Ovis aries: one gene and its partners. The protein of the gene in region 2 interacts with the protein of the main gene of each other region in a pairwise test. Links are inferred from orthologs where the notes say so. Each region holds a gene or a part of one and is shown on either strand. Other genes may lie near its edges.

Region 1 (4,408 bases), on a different chromosome or scaffold from region 2:
ACAACTAGATTCCTGTATTGATTTGCTCCTTAAATGACTTCTCTCTTGCTTCAATTACAGGTAAGGATTCCTGTAGTATTCTTTACTTTCAAAGAATTATACTGCTAAAAAATATCTCAGGCCCAGCCACCTCATGTTACTGGATAACAAAACAAAGGCCTACAGAGCTGTAAGAAAACAGCCTGAAGATTCCATGGTAAGCTCGTGGTAGAGCTGGGAGCATGCGCTCTTCTTTTTAACTTACTGTCTCCATTCCTAGGAGCCCTGATGTGGTATAAGGCCCTTTCCACATTCTGTAGCTATAACAAGTAAGCAAATCCCTAAGGGCTGGTACAGATACCAAAAATCTATACTAATGGCAACTGAAGAACCTTGCAGTGTTAATCCTAGATTACTGAGAGGAATAAATATTGCCAAAGAAATATTATTCCCATACAGATTGATAGTAGTAAAGAATTTAACTTAGAAAGAGCTACTGGAAAAATCAGATAACCAAAGAGTTTACTAATTTTGAATTCACGAAAAATACAGGTTGCTAATATAAATTATTTTTTGATTTATAAGATTCAAGAAGAAAGTGAATATGATATAGTTTTATAGTACCACCAAAGGCATACTGTAAGAAGACTGAGAGAAAGGTAGTGGGTTGGCCAAAAAGTTCATCCAGTTTTTTTCCAGGTGTTATGGAAAAACACAAACAAACTTTTTGGCCAATCCAATAGATGGTTTTATTTTAAACATTTATGTTTAATTAACTAAAGCTCCCCTATTCTCTTCTGTAATTCTAGTAATTTACTTGAATTAACCCGCTTTTATACTTCTTAGTCATTATTTTCTGGTAATAAATGTCTCTGGATTTCACTTTTGTGATTAAAGGCAGAAAATCCAGTTTAGTCAATATTCCTTTTTTATCAAAGCCAAAAATATGACTTAACACTTAGCTTTAGGAAACGAAATATAAATTAATTGCCCTTCCCACTGTGATCTTGCAAAAGACTCATCTTTACCAAAAGGGTAACTGATTGAAAAGGTCTAGTCATCTTAGTATGAGGTTTTAAGCTGCTAAGGATGATAAAGAGCCTTTAAAAGAAAGGCACTTGCACAAAAAAAAAACATTTCTATTTGAGAGACAGAAGGGAGTCTCCGTAAGTAGTTTTCATTCCTAAAACACATATAGCCTCTCTGGTTCCCCAGCAGTCATTATAAGCCTGACATGCTTTGTAGAGTTGTAGTGTGGTAGCAATGGCTAATTCTCAGGCTCTGAATGGCACAATCCCCTCTGAGACTGTACAGACTTAGGAGACATATATCATTTGACTGCAATATATGAACCTTGTTTGGCCCCTTATTTGAACAAATTGTAAAAAAAAAAAATTATTTTGAGATAATCAGGGAAATCTGGACGCTGTCTGAATATGTGAGAATATGAAGGAAGCATTAGTTTTTTCCAGGTGTGCTAATCGTATTGTATGGTCACAAAAAACAGAAAACAAAAACCAAAAACCTGTCCTTATTTTTTCAAGGTACACAGTGAAATACTTAAAGTGAACTTGCTTTAAAATAATCAAGAGGTAATGGGAAGAACATGAATGAATGCAAGATAGATGATGAGCTGAAAATCTGAAGCATGGGGAATTTCATTATACTGTTCTTATACATGCTCAAAAATTTCCATCAAAAAAGGTGTTCACATAGAAATAAATGAGTAAGATTTCAGACAAGACTATCACAACCTACTTTAGATCCTGCTGACTATTCTTCTTCTTCCGAGGGGGCTTCTTCTTCTTCGGTTTATTTGCGTTGCTATTGTTTTGCTTATTGTTTACCCCGAAATGGCCCGCAGAGATATCACTCTGCAACAAGTTGACCAACAATGGGCTCGTCAGCGTGACATCCTTATTGACCGGGAAGCCTGGATTCTGACCACAGGACATCTGATTTCCATTGGGTGCTCCATTGAAAGGTGCATTGAAGGGCATCCCATGGCCTGAGAAGTGGTTTCCCGAGGCACTGTTCCCCTGCATGGCCTGCACGTGGGGGGGGACCATGTTGCTTTGCTGCATGCTAACATCTGGCATCATCTGAGACAAGCTGACATCATTATTTGCTGTCGTAGCAGGATCACCATGCTGCTGGGCCATGTGGGGGCTGGGCCCTGGTGGCCGCAAGACCTGCCCCTGCATCCCCATAACCTGAGACGGACTGCTGTTCACGGGCCCTTGCTGTGGCAGCATCTGTCCTGACATAGGTCCTGTAAACTGCACCATGTTTCCTTGCAAGTTTGGCGTTGGTCCCCTCATTATCTGTGCTGGTCCCGGCATGACATTAGACTGGTTCTGAGTGTTAAACTGTTGCTTATTCCCCTGCATCTGATTGGTCATGATCTGCTCTATCATTGGATTCTGTTGGAGCAAAACTTGCCCCTGAGGCCCCATCATCTGGTTATGTGGTGCCATCATTTGGGGGCCCTGCTGGGGAAGCATCTGCTTGGGTGGGGTCATCCTTTGGGGTGAGGGCCCAAGATTTTGGCTCTGAGGATTCACCATCATCTGACCCTGTGGCATAAGCTGGGCCCTTGAAAGGATCATGGGGTTCTGAGGGTTCAAGGTTCCTTGTTGCTGGACCATCTGGCCCTGGGAGGGCACGATCTGCTGGTGCATGCTCATCAGTTGAGATGGTGGGCCCTGCTGGGGCTGGCCTTGCATGTTGCCCAGGTTCACTTGAGGAACCCCAGAACTACCAGCCTGTTGGTTGTTCATGTTGCCATGAATTCCCATGAGGCTGGGCTGCATCATATTTGGTGGCCCGTGGGACACCTGCATCTGGTTTTGAGGAGGACCAGCTCCTTGACCACCTGAAAAAAAAAAAAGGCACAGTTTCAGAAAGAAATACTATTATCTTCTTGGTATTAAGATTCTCAAATTACCTTAATTAGAAAAACACCCCTCACCCATATCCAGTGATTAGCATAAACAGATGTGTTATGCTTAACATATTTCTGTGAGTTTTCTATAGTATAAGGCTGTGACTGTGGCATACATTCTCAGTGACCATACAATAGAGAAAAAGAAACCATTTCTTTATTCCTATTTGGTAACTTGATAACATTTTGAAGATCAATATAGTTTTCTTTCTCTTAGACTAAACAAAGAGAAAGGTAGCATCTCATTATTTAAAAATAACTTGTAACTACCTTAAAATGAAGAAAATTAATGAAAAGTGTTATGGGATAATGAAATAAGCTCTACTTTAGATGAGACAGGAAACAAAAAATGTGCTGCAGCCTCTTAAGAAAACCTCAGCAAAGTTGAGAAGATGTTTAACAATGCTCCTTGGGAAACTATATTCAGACTCTCCAAGGTTATGGATGTGTTATCTGGATACTGCACTTTAAAGAAAAGAACAGCTAATACTTCCTAAAGATAGGTCTCCTCCACCCCAATGTGGTAAAAATTATTTAATCTTGATCTGGAAGCTGAGCCTCTGGTGGAAGTCAACTGACAGACAATTAAGAAGCTGCAGACAGAGGACAGACAATAAAGGATGATAAAGCTTCAGTGACCCTCTCCTGCAGCAATCCCTAGGAGACCACATGGGACATGTTTTAGTCTTAATTGTTTCCAGTTCAGACAAAGAGCACTTCCTGGTTTGCCACAGTGTATACTTACTGTTAGGTCTTTGGGGTTTTCCTATAGCTGCTTATATTCTCTCTTCCTTTCTGCAGAATAAACTTCTAGCTTATTTTATCTCCTCCCCACCCTTTTCATTTTGAAATGAGGACTAAAAAGTGATAGCCACAATGAAATCATCAAGCCAGTCCATGTTCCAGCCAGGAGGTGAGAGACAAACTGTCCTTTGTTCATACAATCTAGATTTTTCCGGAATCCTAAGATCTTCCAGACCAGCCTTAAACTGAATTCCATGACCACTGTATATACTATATACACTAAATATTCCAGTATATTCATTCAATTGACAATCATCTATTGAGTAGCTAATATGTGCAAGGTACTTCTGGTACTGAGGTAACATCAATAAGCAAGACAAACCAAATCCCTTACTCCATGGAGTCTAGTTGGCAAGAGTAAAATAACAAACAGACTAAGTATTTTCACAGGAAGAAGTAAAAGCTTAATAAGAGAAATAGAGTAAGAGAACAGGAAACGACAGACAAGAGTAGAGCTATCTTAGATGGGATAAACGGAGAAATCAAAACAGTAAGTGCATGGGGAAGGCACCTTATAAAAATATAAAACAGCTGCACTTATGGGGAGGAATTGTGAATGATTTTATTACTGTTTTAAAACTTCCTACAGAATGTGAATTTACATAGCTCAGGAACTGCAGTTTTGCACTAGCAGATGGAGAAAGTCATGGTTTGCCCTACATTTCTCTAGCCCTTCAAGAG
Region 2 (5,002 bases):
GGTGGGCTGCTGTCTATGGGGTCGCCCAGAGTCGTATACGACTGAAGTGACTTAGCAGCAGCAGCAGCAATGCCCTTCAAGTCCAACCATGTTGCTGCAGATAGCAAAAATTTCACTTTCATGACTGAATAGTATCCCATTCTGTATGTACGTATGACGCCTTCTTCATCTGTAGATGAACACTTAGGTCACTTCCATTATCTTGGCAATTGTAAATAATATTGCTACGAATATTGAGGTGTGTGTATCCTTTCAAATTTAGTGTTTGGGGTTTTTTCAGTATATATCCAGGAGTGGGATTGCTGAGTCCTGTGACAGAGTTCTAGTTTAGCTTTTTTTTTGACCCCAACGAATGGCATGTGTAATCTTAGTTCCGCAGCCAGGCACTGAACCTAGGCCCCCAGGGTCCTAACCACTGGACTGCCAAGGAATTCCTCTAGTTTTCGTGTTTTGAGAAACCGCCATACTGTTTTCCACGGTGGCTGCAGAGACTTTATCGTGTTCACAGATGTTTCCAGTGCCTAAGAATGTATTTGGCACATAGTAAATGCTCCATGGGGCTTCCCTGGTGGCTCAGATGGTAAAGAATCCGCCTGCAATGCGGGAGACCTGGGTTCGATCCCTGGGTTAGGAAGATCCCCTGGAGGAGGGCATGGCAACCCACTCCAGTATTGCTGCCTGGAGAATCCCCACGGACAGAGGAGCCTGGTGGGCTACAGTCCATGAGGTCAGAGTCGGACACGAGTTAGCGACTAACCACAGCACAGCACAAATGCTCCATACGCATCTGTCAAATGAAAAACACCTGTGTCCTGAGACTGGCCGACAAAGCAGCCTCAGCCAATACTTGCTGATTGAACGAAAGCTCCATGCCCTCCTCCACTTAAATCCTCCCTGACCTTCAGGAGCAGGCTCCAACCACCAGATGACCCTGAGGCCCCCAAAGCGCCTAGTCTTATCACCCTGAACCCACCCTAGTCCAACACCAGGTCTGGGGGTTTGGTGTCCATGAAGACCCTGGCAGCCCATTCCCACCTCAGACTCATCCTGAATCAGAGCAAGTTTCTAGTCATACTTTATTTTCCTGTTTTTTTTTTTTTTTTTTTAGTTTTTATTAAATAAAAGGAGCAGAGCAGGGAGCCTGTCTGTGGTCTCTCAGGCTGTGGGAGAGCCACAGGCCCTCCTGCCTCTGTTCAAGGTGCACTGCATGGTAGGCTTGAGGTGTAAGCTGGGCGGGGAGGGCAGCTGGGAGTGCTGGGAGAGGTCAGAGCTCAGGACCCGTGACCCCCTCCAGCCCTCCCAGGAAGACTCAGTGGGCAGGCAGGGAGGCTCCTGGACGCCGACTGGGGCTCATCCTGAGGGCTGGCGGGGGGCCAAGGCTTTAGCTCCGAGCCGCAGGGCGGGAGCCCAGACCCAGCCCGGTCCCTTCCCACCCCAGTGTGCAGTCATTGGGGATGTGCAGGGCAGTGGGGTGGGCCCTTCATTCGTGGACGTCCCAGATCTCAGACAGCAAAGGTGGCAGCTTCTTGTCCTGAAGCCGCAGGGCGAAGACCTGCTCCGAGTGCACGGAGCTGAGCGTGCGCAGGCTCACAAGCTTCATCAGCATGCGGGGGAAGCGCAGCTGGTCCTGCAAGGAGACAGGAGTGGGTGGGTGCCAGGCGGCCCACCCGGAGGACCCCCACCCTGGAGAGGCAGTGTGGGGGCCCCTGGGCAAGGACTTGCCTGACTCCTTAATGATGGGACAGGGGCCTTGAGGACAGGCTGCTGAGAGGACACTGATCAGAACTCAGCTGCTGGGGTGAGCCAGGGACGTAGGAAGCTGACCCTACACAGGTCTAGGTTTCCTTGGGAGGGTCCGGGCTCCGGTACCTGTGGCCTCTTGATGCGTGTGTAAGACAACAGCGCGTCCACGTAGGGCTGCTGCAGGGCCTCGACCCGGCTGGGCTCCTGCACGTTGGGCCGGTCGGCTGAGAAGATGTTGATGGCGATGAGCAGGGCGTACTCCGCGTCATCCAGGCCCAGACGCCTCATGGCCCGTGAGAACTCGAAGATGGGGTTGATGAATTCCACCTGCAGGCCTGTGGAGACAGGAGACTGGCTCTGATAAACACTCTGACCTAAAACTGGCCCCCATGCCTGGCCACTGGCATTGCCCTGCCACTGGCATTGCCCACTGTCAGCAGAGCGAGGGAACCAGCAGCAAGTAGAGCGTGCTGGTCACCCTGTAACCCCACTGCCCATCAAGGGCTTGGCACGTCGTGGGTATGCCATATGTCTTGCCTGAATGAAGCAATGAGTAATAAGTGTGAACATTTATTCAGAAGTTTCTACCACCCCGTCACCCTCTTCGCTTCCTTCCTGGTACCTCTCCTCTGGAAAAGGAAAGGTGTTTAATCCCAGGTCACCTTACATCACCCCCTGAGGTGGCATCCCCTGCTCTCACAGTGAAGCGGAACTCATTTCCAGGTGTGACTCATTCATTCATCAAACTTGATTGAGCACCCACTGCGCATCAGGTCCCAGGCAGAGACATTCTAAGACAAAGCCCCCTGCTCTCGTGGCACTTGCATCTGGGGCTTGAAGAGACAGATAATAGACAGGTCTGCAAGTACGCCATCCACCCTGTGAGATGGTTCTAGTTCTATGGATTGAGGTAACGCAAGGGAAGGTAACGGAGAGAATCACGTCCATATTTTAGACATGAGGGTCACCACAAGGTGAGTGTCGGAAGGCCTCCCTAGCTGCAGGGTGTCTGACTAAAGAGGGGAGGGAGGGAGTTACCAGGCTGTGCGAGTGTTCCAGGGAGGGTGCTACCAGTCTGTTTTGCCTGGGACTAGGCTTCCTAGGCCCTGGACTTTGAGTATTAAAGCTCAGGAGACTTGCTTCTTGCAGAGTGGCTAAGAATCCACATGCCAGTGCAGGGGACACAGGTTTCATCCCTGGCCAGGAAGATGCCACATGCTGCAGGGCAACTAAACCCACGCACTGCAACTGAGCCCAACTGCCTAGGGCCCGCACTGGCAACGAGAAGCCCGCGCACAGCAACTAGAGAAAGCTCGCACAAAGCAACGAAGACCCAGCGCAGCCAAAAACAAAAAAATCTTTAAAAAGTAAGAAAAGCTTGGAAGGCCCCAAGCAAACTAGGACGAGATGGTCAACCTAGTTCTGGAAAGAGGGACCAGCAAACAGAAGCTGTGAGGCGACAGCACATTGGTGGGTTCAAATAACAGGGAGGCCAGCGCGGCTGGGGGAGGGGGAGGGGAGGGCGGGAGGAACGAGGCCACACCCTGCAGGGCCTGTGGGCCAGGTGAGGACTCTGGCTTTTCTCCCACCCAGTGTGATGGGAGCCACGGATGGTGCTGAGCACAGGAGGGACGTGAGCTAACGTGGTTGTTAACTGGATCCTTCTGATGACTGTGAACAAACACACCAGGCTGGGGTGGAGGCAGAAGCCCAGCAAGGGGCCCTGCAATGTTCCCAGAAGGACCAACTGAGGCTTGGACTCTGGCAGTGGCGGAGGATGGGGCGGTAGGAGGAACGAACCTCCGCTCCAGCCCCATCTCACTGCGCTGCAGCTGCCGGAACCTCCCTGTCGTTCCTTAAAACCACCCGCTCTTCCCCACCCAAGGACCTCTGCACATGCTGAGGCCCCTGCCAGAAACACTCTCCCAACCCCTAGTGCTCCCCTGCCAAGCTTATACTCAAAGGGTTACTGGGACTGCCCTGGGTATTGGGAGAGCCAGGAAATAAGAGGAAGGAAAGATGGGGTGAGGAGAAGATGTCCAGGAAGACAGAGAAGTGCCCCACGGAGAAATGACAGGAGAAAGCAGGACTCTCTGAGAACGCCCAGAAGCAGAGAGAGAGGCCCTGCACTTGCGTTCCCTGGTAACTAACACTGCTCCCCACCTCCCTTTCCCTCTGGTCCCACTGAGCCATACTCTCTCCAGAAGCCCATCGCCTCGGTTCCCATCCCTAGGGAAGTGCTCTTGGAGGGCAGGGACCGGGTTTGCCCTGTACAGTTGGGGAGGTTATGTATTTCCCAATGGACTGAGATCCAGCCTCCCTCACATGAGACCAGGGCTGGGGAGCAAAGAGTGTCTTTCCTTAATTCCTACGAAGATGTCCTATATGACAGCACATACCCCTCTGTCGCATCCTGCACCATGTCCCCCCTGTGCAGGGTCAGGGCTCAATAATCTCACTGTGGTCTTAGCTCTCACTGTGAGGTGGGAGGGCTCAGCCCTCACCCTAGTCTGGAGGTGAAGAGATGGAAGCTCAGACAAGGATGTGAGGGCCCGGGTCTCCTGGCCAGCAGGGACCCCACTGCCCAGCCTGCGCTTGGCCGTACCCGCGCGGTGGAAGTCATCCTTGCTGTAGGTGAAGTCCTTTAGGAAAGTGATGCACTCAGTCTCGTGGTTGTAGCGTCTGGCCGTCTCCAGCAGCATGATCTGAGGATGGCGGAGGGGATGGGTGGGCAGGGGCTAGAGGAGCCCTGTGGCCCCTCGGCCACTGTCCCTCTGCTGGCCTGAATGGGGGGGCCCGATCTTGCTGGGATCATCCCCTGCCCGTCTCCACCCCACCCCATCATCTCTCAGCCACAGGGCCTGCAGCCAGCACGCTGGACACTCCAAGCTCTCGCCCTTCCCCAGGTTCGGCACCCCCAGCCTTCTCCACTCAGGACACTCCCCCCAAGTGCTTACGAGGCACAGGGCAGAGCTTTCTCTCAGTCTGCTCCATTCACCACCACGCCCTCAGCACTGGGAATAGGACCTGGCATACACTAGACACTCAGCACTTACTCATTACCACAGTTTTGGTTCAAACATCAACTCCCTGAACAAGCCTTGTCAGCATGCTCCCTAAAGTGTGGCCCTCCAGCCCAACCCTCAATTATTCTCCATCTCAGGCCCTGTTTCCCTTCTCTCCTAACCTCACAAGAGGCTCTGATGACTTATTTAGCATTTGAGGTTCTCCTGGAGAATACCACCCCCACCAGGGAAAA
Region 3 (5,073 bases), on a different chromosome or scaffold from region 2:
TGTCCCTGGCCCCTGCTCACTAGATGCCAGTAGTAGCCCCCATGCCACCCCCCATCCCACCCCATCCCACCACTATGACAACTGAAAATGTCTCCAGACATTGCCCAATGTCTTGCGGAGCATAAAGTCAACCCCAGTTGAGAACCACTGATATAGATGACTATAAAAATAAAATGTGGTAGATCTATGCTCTAGAATAAATGATGCCACCTTTGGAAGCAATGAACGAGGAGTATATAGCTTTAGAACATGAACCAAGCAGAAAGGGGAGGAAAGAGAATATCACAGTACCATCTATACCAAATTAAAATGTATGCGTATATACGTAATTTTCAAAAATACAGATGTGCATATGAGTCGATGTGTGTGGTGGGAAGATGATGAGAGTATAGAATGGAGGTGATGGGTGCAGATTACGAGCCTCTGAGTGTTTCTAAGAAGGAGCTTATATGAAGAGAAGATAGGAAATTGCTTCAGGAACACTTGCTAACCTGAATCTTAGCCCTTTCCCTTATTTTCTCCTCATCAAAGGTGTTGAAGATCACTCTAAGTGGTAGTGACATTATCCAGAGATCAAGAGGAGGGCTCCAATTTAATCACCCCTAAAAAAAGTTTTCATGAAATGTCCTTAATTTCATGATCTGTAAACTGGTGATAACTGTACTCACTTCAAAGCTTTGAGGTAAAGACTGAACAAAGTAATGCCTAGGAAAACATTCTGAAATGCCAAAGCTTTACACAATGGTAAAGGTTTATATCAATCATCTTTGTAAAATTAAGTTCCACTATATGCTATAATTAACGGACTAAATAACTAACAAAGTCTTTCCTAGGAAAAAAAAAAATTTGTACAGTTTTTTTCTCTGGTCTTTATGATGCATAAGCAAGAATATGAAGCAATTAACTTTCTGAAGGTCTATTAAGATCTATTAAGGTCTATTAAGAAGGTCTATTAAGAAGGTCTATTAAGACATTCTTGCTCTTCACTAATGAAAAGTATCAGACTTCAGGGATCATAAACCAATGCTATTTAATTCTAGCACTTTCATATATTTCTAATTTCATATAAATTGGTTCTTTAAAAGCTTTTTGATGAAACAGAAAGTTTCATCAAAGTTAGAGTTTGCTTTAATACAAATTCTTCCCCACTTTGAATTCTTTCCAACTATTCCTTGAAATATAGTAAAACAGCAAACAAAAAAATACTTTTAAAACATAACTTAAATATATTAAATAACATTAAACTTTGTAAAAAGCTCATTGTTTTCAGCTTATTAAGGACATTTGATCTCAGTAATTTAAAAAGTTGAATGATTCAAAACTAAGATGAATTAATTTTGGAAATAATTTTAAATCCTATGTTACTTCTAAAATAGTTTGGATTTGATTTTTTGCTTAAGATTTGATGTTGAGAATGAAATGTGGCCTTTCATTTTAGCTTTCTAGGGGTTCAGAATAAAGATGACAATTTCTCAAATTACATGTAATCCCTGGATTCATCCTAAAGTGAACAGATCATTGTAAGTTTCTCCTTTAAAAAGCACCAAGTGGGCATTTTCTTTTCTGAACTCACCTGCTATGAAATGGGGAAAGTCTCAGCATTTTAGACCAATGTTTTCATGCTAAATCTCTACTTATCAGGAGCAGGATTTTCAGGTAAGGGGTTCAGACTGAAATAAAACACTGTAGGGGGAAAATAGTTCAATTTGTCTTTTCACTTCAGTTTGGGCAGGTTGAAAAATCTGGCAGTCTTTGGTGACCCAGCTGTTTCCTCCTTAGCTTGTGCTGTTGTTTTCCTGCAGCCCTCTCAGCTATAGCCACCTCCCAACGCCTTCCTGACCCCTTTCACTGGATACTTTCCTACCCAGGTTTCCAAACAGTCCTCCAACTGCTCTAAGAACAAAAAAGACAAGGGGATGGGTGAGAGGAAATGGCCAGTCAGCCACCCAGACTGGGGGACCTGAGTCTGGGGATCAGGATTTTGAGACAGGAGTGGCCGAGGCAGTTGCTCCCTGTGCAAACATTTACTGAGAGCTGAGCATGTGCCTGATGCTGTCTGGCCCTGGGATACAAAAAATAAAAAGAAAAAGTCCTTGTCCTTCAAGATGCCCATGATCTCCAGGTGTGCAAGTGGGGCGCTCCGGAGTCGGGTGTCCCGCGCAGCCCACCTACCTCTGCCTGGTGATGAGATTGATGTAGTGTCGCAGCGCTGAGTAGTATCTGGCCAAGTCCTCCGCCGGAGCGTCGTCGCCAGGGTTGTCAGGCTTGGAGGGGTACGCCTCGGCCAGGGCGCCCAGGCACACGAGCAGGGACAGGGCGAGGGTCAGTCCGGACAACCCCAGTCGCTTGCTACCCAGCATCTGCGGACACCGAAGGTGCAGTGAAGGGGGCTTAGGGAATTCAGAGGACGCACGCTCCGCACCTTCCTCCTCTGGCCCCAGCGCCCATCCCACTCCTACGACCCCCACACCCCAACCTTCAATCTATGCTCGAGCCAGTCACGCAGAGGGAGCAGAGAGCGGTGAGACCATCCTGTGGATTCAGGTCAAGATCTGCTCTGGCCCGGCCCCTCTGCTCCGCCCGAAAACTCTGAGCAACTTCAGTCCAGTAGCAGAGTCAAGAATCCGGCGGTGAGAGACGCTGAGTTGGGGAGGCTCCGGCGCCAATTTAAAACACTTTAAAAAACAGATTAAAAGTTCCTCCCCCTGCACTGAGAACTTACCCCTTTCCTACCCTCTTCCCCAAACGCCCTGTTAGAGGGAAGGGAAGAAGTTTCTCCTTTTTAAGTTTTGGTCTGCCCCGCTGCAGGAGCTCGACAGTGATGGCAAACGGTACTCGGGTGGCAACTGGCGAGAGTGGAGAGAACAGCTCCCTCGCCGGTGGGTCTCAGATCGGATCCGAAAGATCCCAAGAGGCTGCAGGGAGCGGCGCTTCCAAGCTCCGGGGATTCCTTATTCGCGGAGCGCTGCCTGGGAAACCTCCCTCCAGGCGGCGACCCTCGAGGAAACGGCCAGCTGCCCTGGGATCGGGCTCCTGTTTTCCCTCTTTATCCACCATAAGATAACCCAGAGGGCCGGCGTAGCCAGGAGGGTCGGGGAGAGGGCAGCTGTTCCATCAGAGGGTACAGGAAGGGGCAGGTGGAATTTAGCCGCCAAGAGGGGCTAGCGCGCGTTGAGGCGCCTGAAAGCCCGGGGCACAGGGGTTAGGGATCGGGGCGCGACCCTCCTCCCAGAGCCCCCGGCAAATTCACAGGCGCCCCCTCTCCCTCAGCTCGCGTCAAGTAAGCGGGTCTTGGCACTCACGGTGGCGGGCTGGGTGGCTGGCGGGCGTGGCTGGGTGGCTAGGGCTCAGTAGTCTGGCGCGCTCTTCTAGGGGTGAGAGCCGGCAGAAGGGGGTGTCCGGAGCAGGTTGCAACAGGGTTTTTATGGCTCTCCCTCGCCACGGCAGGAGGGGCCTCGGGCAATCACGCTCCGCTACTCCCACCCGGCAGCTTCCCGCCCCCGTTGGCGGGGGATGAGGGAGGGGGTCCGGAGCTACTGTCTCGCGAGCCTCGGCTCTGGGAGCCACCCACACCCCAATTTGCCAGCGCCAGCCAGGCCCCAGGAAAGGGAAGCTAGCAGGATGCTAGCGCAGCAACGCGCTCCGAGAGCACAGGACCATGCCAAAGCTCAAGTTCCTGCCCTCCTGCGGCGGCCAAACCTTGCCGTCCTCCACGCCCGGTCTAGTCCTGCCAGAGATAGGAGCAGCCCAGATCATCTCTGTCGCCCGTCACCTGGACTACCACCAGCTGGGCACCAGGGTTGGGGTACCCGTATCCGCTACGTGGTGAAGGCTTTCTGGGATCCGTGTGGCTAGGGAGCGGACACGACTCCTGAGTGCTTTCGGGGGAGACAACTTGGTGCTGGGATTTTCCTGCGCCTAAAGCAGCTCCCAGAAGCCTGCCCAAAGTCCCGAGCTAGAGGACCCCAACGCCCCACTCCTCCAGGGCTGAGCAAAACCTTCTGTGGCTTCGTCCCTTTTCCCAGCTTGGTTTTGGTGGAGACCGGCCCTCTCCAAGAACTCGCCCGAACACTGGAAGTCCAGTTGGTATCCGACAGTGTGTAGAGACTGAGAACTCCTCAGAGGTCGGACACTTTCTGGGTTTGGGGAAAAAGAGCGGAGTTTTAAGTTCGGAGAGACTCCTTAAAGCGCGAACGAAAATTTTTGGTCCAAATCGACCAGGTAGTCAAATGAACAGCAATTTTCTTTTATCTGCTGGCCGTTGAATAATGCCAAATAGGTTTGATTAACGCTGATTGAGAACGTGGGTTCTAATTAAAACTGGTTAAAAAAAATCATTAATTTGCCCATCACATTAAACCTACAGAATGAATATGAAAGATTCATAAACTATTTTTACAGGATCAGGATTTCATGTAGTGGATTAGGTCTTAAAGTTCCCTGAATGAATACTTCTAGAAGTCTGAATCTTCCTAAATAAATGGCATATTAAGGAATTGAAGCACTAAGTTACAAGTTATTTTGGTGCTAAAATGACAAGTGATTTTGTTAAACTGACATGTTGGTTTTGTGCTGTTTTAACAGCATTGAATTAAATATCAGTTATCGTGCAGCAAGCAATCACGTGTGTGTGTGTGTGTGAGGTTTTGAAGACCAACATTCTTTTCACTTAGGTGACTTCCTCTCCCACATTACACAAACATATGCCAGGAACACAAATGCCAGGCTCTGGGGACTGCTCAGGAATGCTTATGTGAAAGAACCTTTGCTAAAGTTAGAGCAAAACATTTTCTAACTCTGATTCCATTCTTGATAAAAAGAGAGGCACTTCTAGTTGCTGGACCATTTCTTTCCTTTGTTTCAAAATCATTTATTTATGCTTATTCTTAACAGTTTGTTGAGATACAACTGAGATACAAATGAGGCTTCCTTGGTGGCTCAGATGGTAAAGAATCTGCCTGCAATGGGCGAGACCTGGGTTTGATCCCTGGGTTAGGAAGATCCTCTGGAGAAGGGATTGGCTACCCACTCCAATATTCTTGCCTGGACAATTTCATGGATAGAAGAGCCTGG
Region 4 (4,939 bases), on a different chromosome or scaffold from region 2:
AAAAATTCTCATTGAAACTTAAAAAAAAAAAACTACAAATCTTTTTTATGTATACAATCCTGAGCCAGAAGATGTCTGTAGAACTTAGTTATGGAAATCTCTAAGCAACATGACATTTTGGTGTTCATTATCTCATTTGATCTTTACAGCAAAACTGTGCGAAAAAGCAAACTGGTGTTGCTCATCTTACTCAAACTGGTGTCTCTACCTCCTAGATGAGGAAATTGAGGGTAGGAAAAAACAAGCAATTTGTCCAAGGTTACACAGGTAGTAGTGGAGTCAAGATTAAAATAAAGCTTTTTCTGACAGCAAATTCAATTCTTTTACTAGTGCTGTGCTATACACTCACCCCACTCCCTGTATACCACTTAACTAAGGGCTCCCCATACTGGTGAATGCCTCAGGAAGGAGAAAGTACTGTAGAGGAAGTCACAGAGTAAACAAGTGAAGTTAATAAAAATGATTGCAAACTCTTCTACCAGTATAGATACAATGAAAGTATTAACACATTAGAATCAAGGAGCTTGACAGGAAGTAAAAAGTAAATGTTTCTCTATATCAGGCTATCACATGTATCTTTTTTTTTTTTTTTTTTGGCAGCACTGTGGGACTTGTGGGATCTTAGTTCCTCAACCAGGGATTGAATCCAAGGTTACAGTAATGAAAGCTGGGAATCCTAAACACTAGGTCACTAGGAAACTAATTACGCTCTGTAAGTGTTTCTTACAACTTTTGCCTAAAATATCCCAGCTTACTATAACTCATGATTAACACAATTCTATTAACATATCTTCTTCTTAGGTAGACTTAAAAGTTGAAAGCCATCATGTTATGAGAAATAAAACTGAAGACACACCATAATGACTAGCTAGAAAAAGTCTACATAGGTAACTTAGCTTATCAAATAATTTTCTAAGCACAACACTTTATCCAGTTCACCATAGTCCTCACCATGACTTGACGCACAAGCTTAATGGTTTCACTCCAAGGTCTATTTTGGTTAAATTTTGCATGGAGCCGTTCCAAGAGAGAACTCATCTTACTCAGCTTTTCCGACTCTAAGATATAAATCAGAAAAAATTATTAGCAACTCTTCTTTCAAGACCTTCCACAGTTTTTCTTGCAAACAAAACTCCCATACTTCATCCTGGTACGAACTCAAGTTAAAATCTTATCCAATATCATTTACTTCAAAATACACAAAGAATTCATTTCTAATAACAAGTAGACAGAAATTATGGGCCTAATCTAACAACACTATAGAAGGGGACTGCTTTCTCTTCAGACTTAATGAGAAGCAAAAAAAGAACCACCTCCAGTCCTGAGGATCAAGACTACTATTTAATGACAAAATAATTTCATGATAGGCATGAAATCCTTTGCATGACATATGCAGAGCATACATTTGAACATGGCCTTACTATAGTTAGTTGGTTTTCAATGTGAAAATAAAGACTTTCTTAATTTTTTCACATAATTTTAAGAGATCAATTTGTAAGTATTATCAAGAAAACAAGCTTCATTTGCCATTCAGCTATTTCCTGTTCGAATTCAAACTATATGAACAAAGGAAATGTCAAGTGACTAAAGGATGAGTTTCAGGCAAAGGTAAGAGAAAGGTAGAAAAGAATGGATCCCAGATAGTGTTTGAAGGAACCTCCTATAACCTCCAACACTCCTGTAATTCTTTTAACTGCTTAACATGAGCAAGGACTGTGCTGGAGACCAGCAGTGCAAAAATACAATATGCCTGAGATGACATCTGTGAGGGGGTGTGGATAAGTTAATGTGAAAATAACCATCATACAAAGCAAAATGAGATATGCTCTTAAAAATAGAAACACATTACTATCAAAATTCAAAGGAGGAAAAGTGTGTAATTAGTTTAGGGATGTTACAGAAAAGATGTCTTGAAAGATGAATAGAATGTCAGCAATCAAAGATGAAGTAGTGACATCTTCAGATCGAGATTCAACTCCTCCCTCCAAGGCCTTCATCTTCTGGAAAACTGTTCTTGGGGCTGTTTCATTCAGTTTATAATTCTGGAGAAATGTTTGGCAATTCCCATATTTCAGACATTCACTCAGGCACTATTTTACATCTCAGAGATACAGCAGTGAGCAAACTAGACAAAATTCCTGCCTCACTAAGATTCCACTTACACTAGTCATTCGTCTGCACCCTTTTTTCTTTCTCCTTCAAACACACCTCCCTTCTCTCCCTTAAGGCGGCCGACGATAAATCTTTACAAAAATGCTTCAGTGAAACGTTTTTTTGAGCAACTATTATGTGCCCGGAGAAGGAAACGGCAACTCACTTCAGTGTTCTTGCCTGGAGAATTCCATAGGTGAAGGAGCCTGGTGGGCTGCAGTCCGTGGGGTCACAGAGTCGGAAACGACTGAGTGACTAACACAACAACACAACATTATGGGCCCAGGACTATACAATGATGAGTAAGGCAAGATCCTGCTCTACAAAGCTCAGAGCACATTGGAGAAGACAAAAAAATAATCCTGTATCAACAGAACTATGTCCAAAATGCTAACGGAGCATCTAAGCTGAAATGTGGAACTTTAGAGAATATAAAGTTACACAGAAAAGTGTTTTTCAACAGTTTTTAGTTCAGATATTTAAAGACTGAAATTAAAAGCATTTTAAAAATATACAATACTACAAGATATGAACGCTGTGACATTTTTTAAAACTACTGGCTTTTAATACCATAAGGACCTAATCATTTCATTCACGACAAAACATCTTACAGTACTTTGATATATAGCGTCCTATTATTGTTTTATGTCATCATTCAGATTTCTCTTTTGAAGAAGAAAGTTTTACGTTCACTTGCCCGGTCTCCCATCTCTTTAGGCTAAAAAATGCCCTGAGGCCCAAATGTTGCCCCTTGCCAAATAGGAAACCTTCACACTCAAGTTGGGAGCCCCCATCTCCCCAAAGTCGAAGCTCTCCATCACCAAGGAAGGCAGTCAGAATCTAAAACTCAGACATATCCCGCCTCCTAGATCCTGAGCCCTCGGGAGAGTGGCCCCCGCGGAGGCATTGGCTCCCCCAGCTGTGTCCCGCCCCCTGATCTCCCCCTCAGTCACTCACCCTCGGTCTCCCCCTGAGCCTTCATCCTGACGGCGGGGAGGGCCTAAGTCCTACACAAGAGGATATGCCCTTCCCCACCAGTAATGGAGGAACCAAGTTGGTTCGGGCTCCCGGGACGCAGGGAACCTGCAGTCCCACTCTTCCAGGGAAGACTCAGTCTGAAGTCCCCGGCGGCAAGAAGAGAAGGGTGCTCGCGGCCGCCGCCATCTTCCCCAACGGAACTTCCAAAAGATCGCGAGATTAACCGTGATCCTGCGAGAGAGAGAAGGGGGAAAGGGGCTGGGCACCAAATATCGCGAAAAATGATTTATACGTTGCTTCTCGCGAGATTATCCCCACCCTGCCTGCTCTCTGGTTTGTCTCCGACTTCTCAGAGCTAGGCGTGGAGCTTGTGTAGTGCTAGTGTTCAACACCTCTGTGGAAGTTGGCACTTTCGATTTGGCTTTCAAGCAGTTTGCAAAGTAAAAGCCCCAGCTGTCTTTACTGAAATGCTAGCTTTTCGAAGAATATTGCTGTTAGGAATATTTTATTAAAACTTTCCCTTTATTGAGATACTAGACGTTGGGTCTTTGTAACACGACGTCCCAAAGTAGCCCAGTACACTTAATTTCCATTACCGAATTTCCTTTTTAATTTCAGAAATATTTTTCTTGAGCATTTTCAATATTTCTGAGGACGTGGAAGATTTTGAGTTAAGAAAAACTTGTTTGCAACAGTCATGAGTTCAGGTGAGTCGCTCAGTCGTGTCCGACTCTTAAAGACCCCATGAACTGCCTGTCCATCACCAACTCCCAGAACTTGCTCAAACTCATGTCCATCCAGTCGGTGATGCTATCCAACCATCTCATCCTCTATCCTCCCCTTCTCCTCCTGCCCTCAACCCTTCCTAGCATCAGGGTCTTTTTCAATGAGTGGAGTCTTCGCGTCAGTCAGGTGGCCAAAATATTGGAGCTTCAGCTTCAGCATCAGCCCTTCCAATGAATATTCAGTAGTCATCGATTATATTTAGGATCCCAAAGGTGTTCACAATGGATTGTATTTTTTTTGTAGTCAGTAAAAGCAAGCAGGTTAGCTCACACTCTACACTACAAATCACAAAGAATGTGTGGTCCTGTCTCTTGTATCAGTAAATTTTCACGAAGAGAAATCTGGATTAATGCTGAGAATTTAGAAGTTCCTGCCCATTGGAACAAGAACCAGACTAAAATACAATTCTACTAGCTCTGGGTGGAAGTTCTTAAAATAGTTAAGGTTACTCTTTTTTTTTTTTCTTTATTATTATTATAATTTTTTTTTGAAATACATCCTTGAGAATAACTGCTGAAATTTTACCTAATTTGCTGTAAGGATATTTAGCAATGGATTTCCAGTGGCTCTTTAGTCTCAGACTTTTCCCCCATATTTCAAAAATGATATGCAAACATCCTCCAAAACAATTCCTGCTGGTAACTACAGTTCAGATGAACAGACAGATAAGAACAAATCTTTATTTGTGACATGTTTATTTCGACAAAGATATGTATAACCATGCTCCTTGAAAGTAGAATTAAAATTTACTTCTTGTCTATTCCTCTTACCCTCATTCCTTTCAGTCACTACACAGAGAGTTTTTTGAGGCAGTAATTGCTTCTTATTTCGAAATCCACACTACCTAGCATTGTACCTGGGCTTAGTAGGCAAATCTTTTACTGGTCCTAACATTCCTCTCTCAATCTAGCTCTTCTCCCCTTGCCAAATCCCAACCACACTGACCTTCCACCTGCAGACAATTCCTTCACTCCTTTCTCTCCCAAGGTCCTTGAACAGGCCTTTTTAGCTGCAGGAAGGCTTT

The links.
Region 1: the proteins of NR1H2 (region 2) and NCOA6 interact in a two-hybrid assay, tested with the Homo sapiens proteins (2 studies listed by BioGRID). The link is inferred for Ovis aries from reciprocal best matches to the Homo sapiens genes NR1H2 and NCOA6.
Region 3: the proteins of NR1H2 (region 2) and NPY interact in a two-hybrid assay, tested with the Homo sapiens proteins (3 studies listed by BioGRID and IntAct). The link is inferred for Ovis aries from reciprocal best matches to the Homo sapiens genes NR1H2 and NPY.
Region 4: the proteins of NR1H2 (region 2) and MED1 interact in a two-hybrid assay, tested with the Homo sapiens proteins (2 studies listed by BioGRID and IntAct, with this or other methods). The link is inferred for Ovis aries from reciprocal best matches to the Homo sapiens genes NR1H2 and MED1.

Annotation. Positions count from the first base shown.
Region 1 is NC_056066.1:64,076,045-64,080,452, forward strand, and holds part of NCOA6 (nuclear receptor coactivator 6), read right to left. Parts: intron 2,855-4,408; coding exon 1,738-2,854; intron 1-1,737. UniProt on the Homo sapiens protein: Nuclear receptor coactivator that directly binds nuclear receptors and stimulates the transcriptional activities in a hormone-dependent fashion. Coactivates expression in an agonist- and AF2-dependent manner.
Region 2 is NC_056067.1:56,280,615-56,285,616, reverse strand, and holds the end of NR1H2 (oxysterols receptor LXR-beta), read right to left. Parts: intron 4,449-5,002; coding exon 4,349-4,448; intron 2,079-4,348; coding exon 1,870-2,078; intron 1,628-1,869; coding exon 1,481-1,627; 3' UTR 1,060-1,480; downstream 1-1,059. UniProt on the Homo sapiens protein: Nuclear receptor that exhibits a ligand-dependent transcriptional activation activity. Binds preferentially to double-stranded oligonucleotide direct repeats having the consensus half-site sequence 5'-AGGTCA-3' and 4-nt spacing (DR-4).
Region 3 is NC_056057.1:73,210,173-73,215,245, forward strand, and holds the start of NPY (pro-neuropeptide Y precursor), read right to left. Parts: upstream 3,376-5,073; 5' UTR 3,303-3,375; intron 3,282-3,302; exon of another isoform or gene 2,723-3,281; intron 2,527-2,722; exon of another isoform or gene 2,477-2,526; intron 2,361-2,476; coding exon 2,173-2,360; intron 1-2,172. UniProt on the Homo sapiens protein: NPY is implicated in the control of feeding and in secretion of gonadotrophin-release hormone.
Region 4 is NC_056064.1:39,606,512-39,611,450, forward strand, and holds the start of MED1 (mediator of RNA polymerase II transcription subunit 1), read right to left. Parts: upstream 3,343-4,939; 5' UTR 3,134-3,342; coding exon 3,109-3,133; intron 1,059-3,108; coding exon 952-1,058; intron 1-951. UniProt on the Homo sapiens protein: Component of the Mediator complex, a coactivator involved in the regulated transcription of nearly all RNA polymerase II-dependent genes.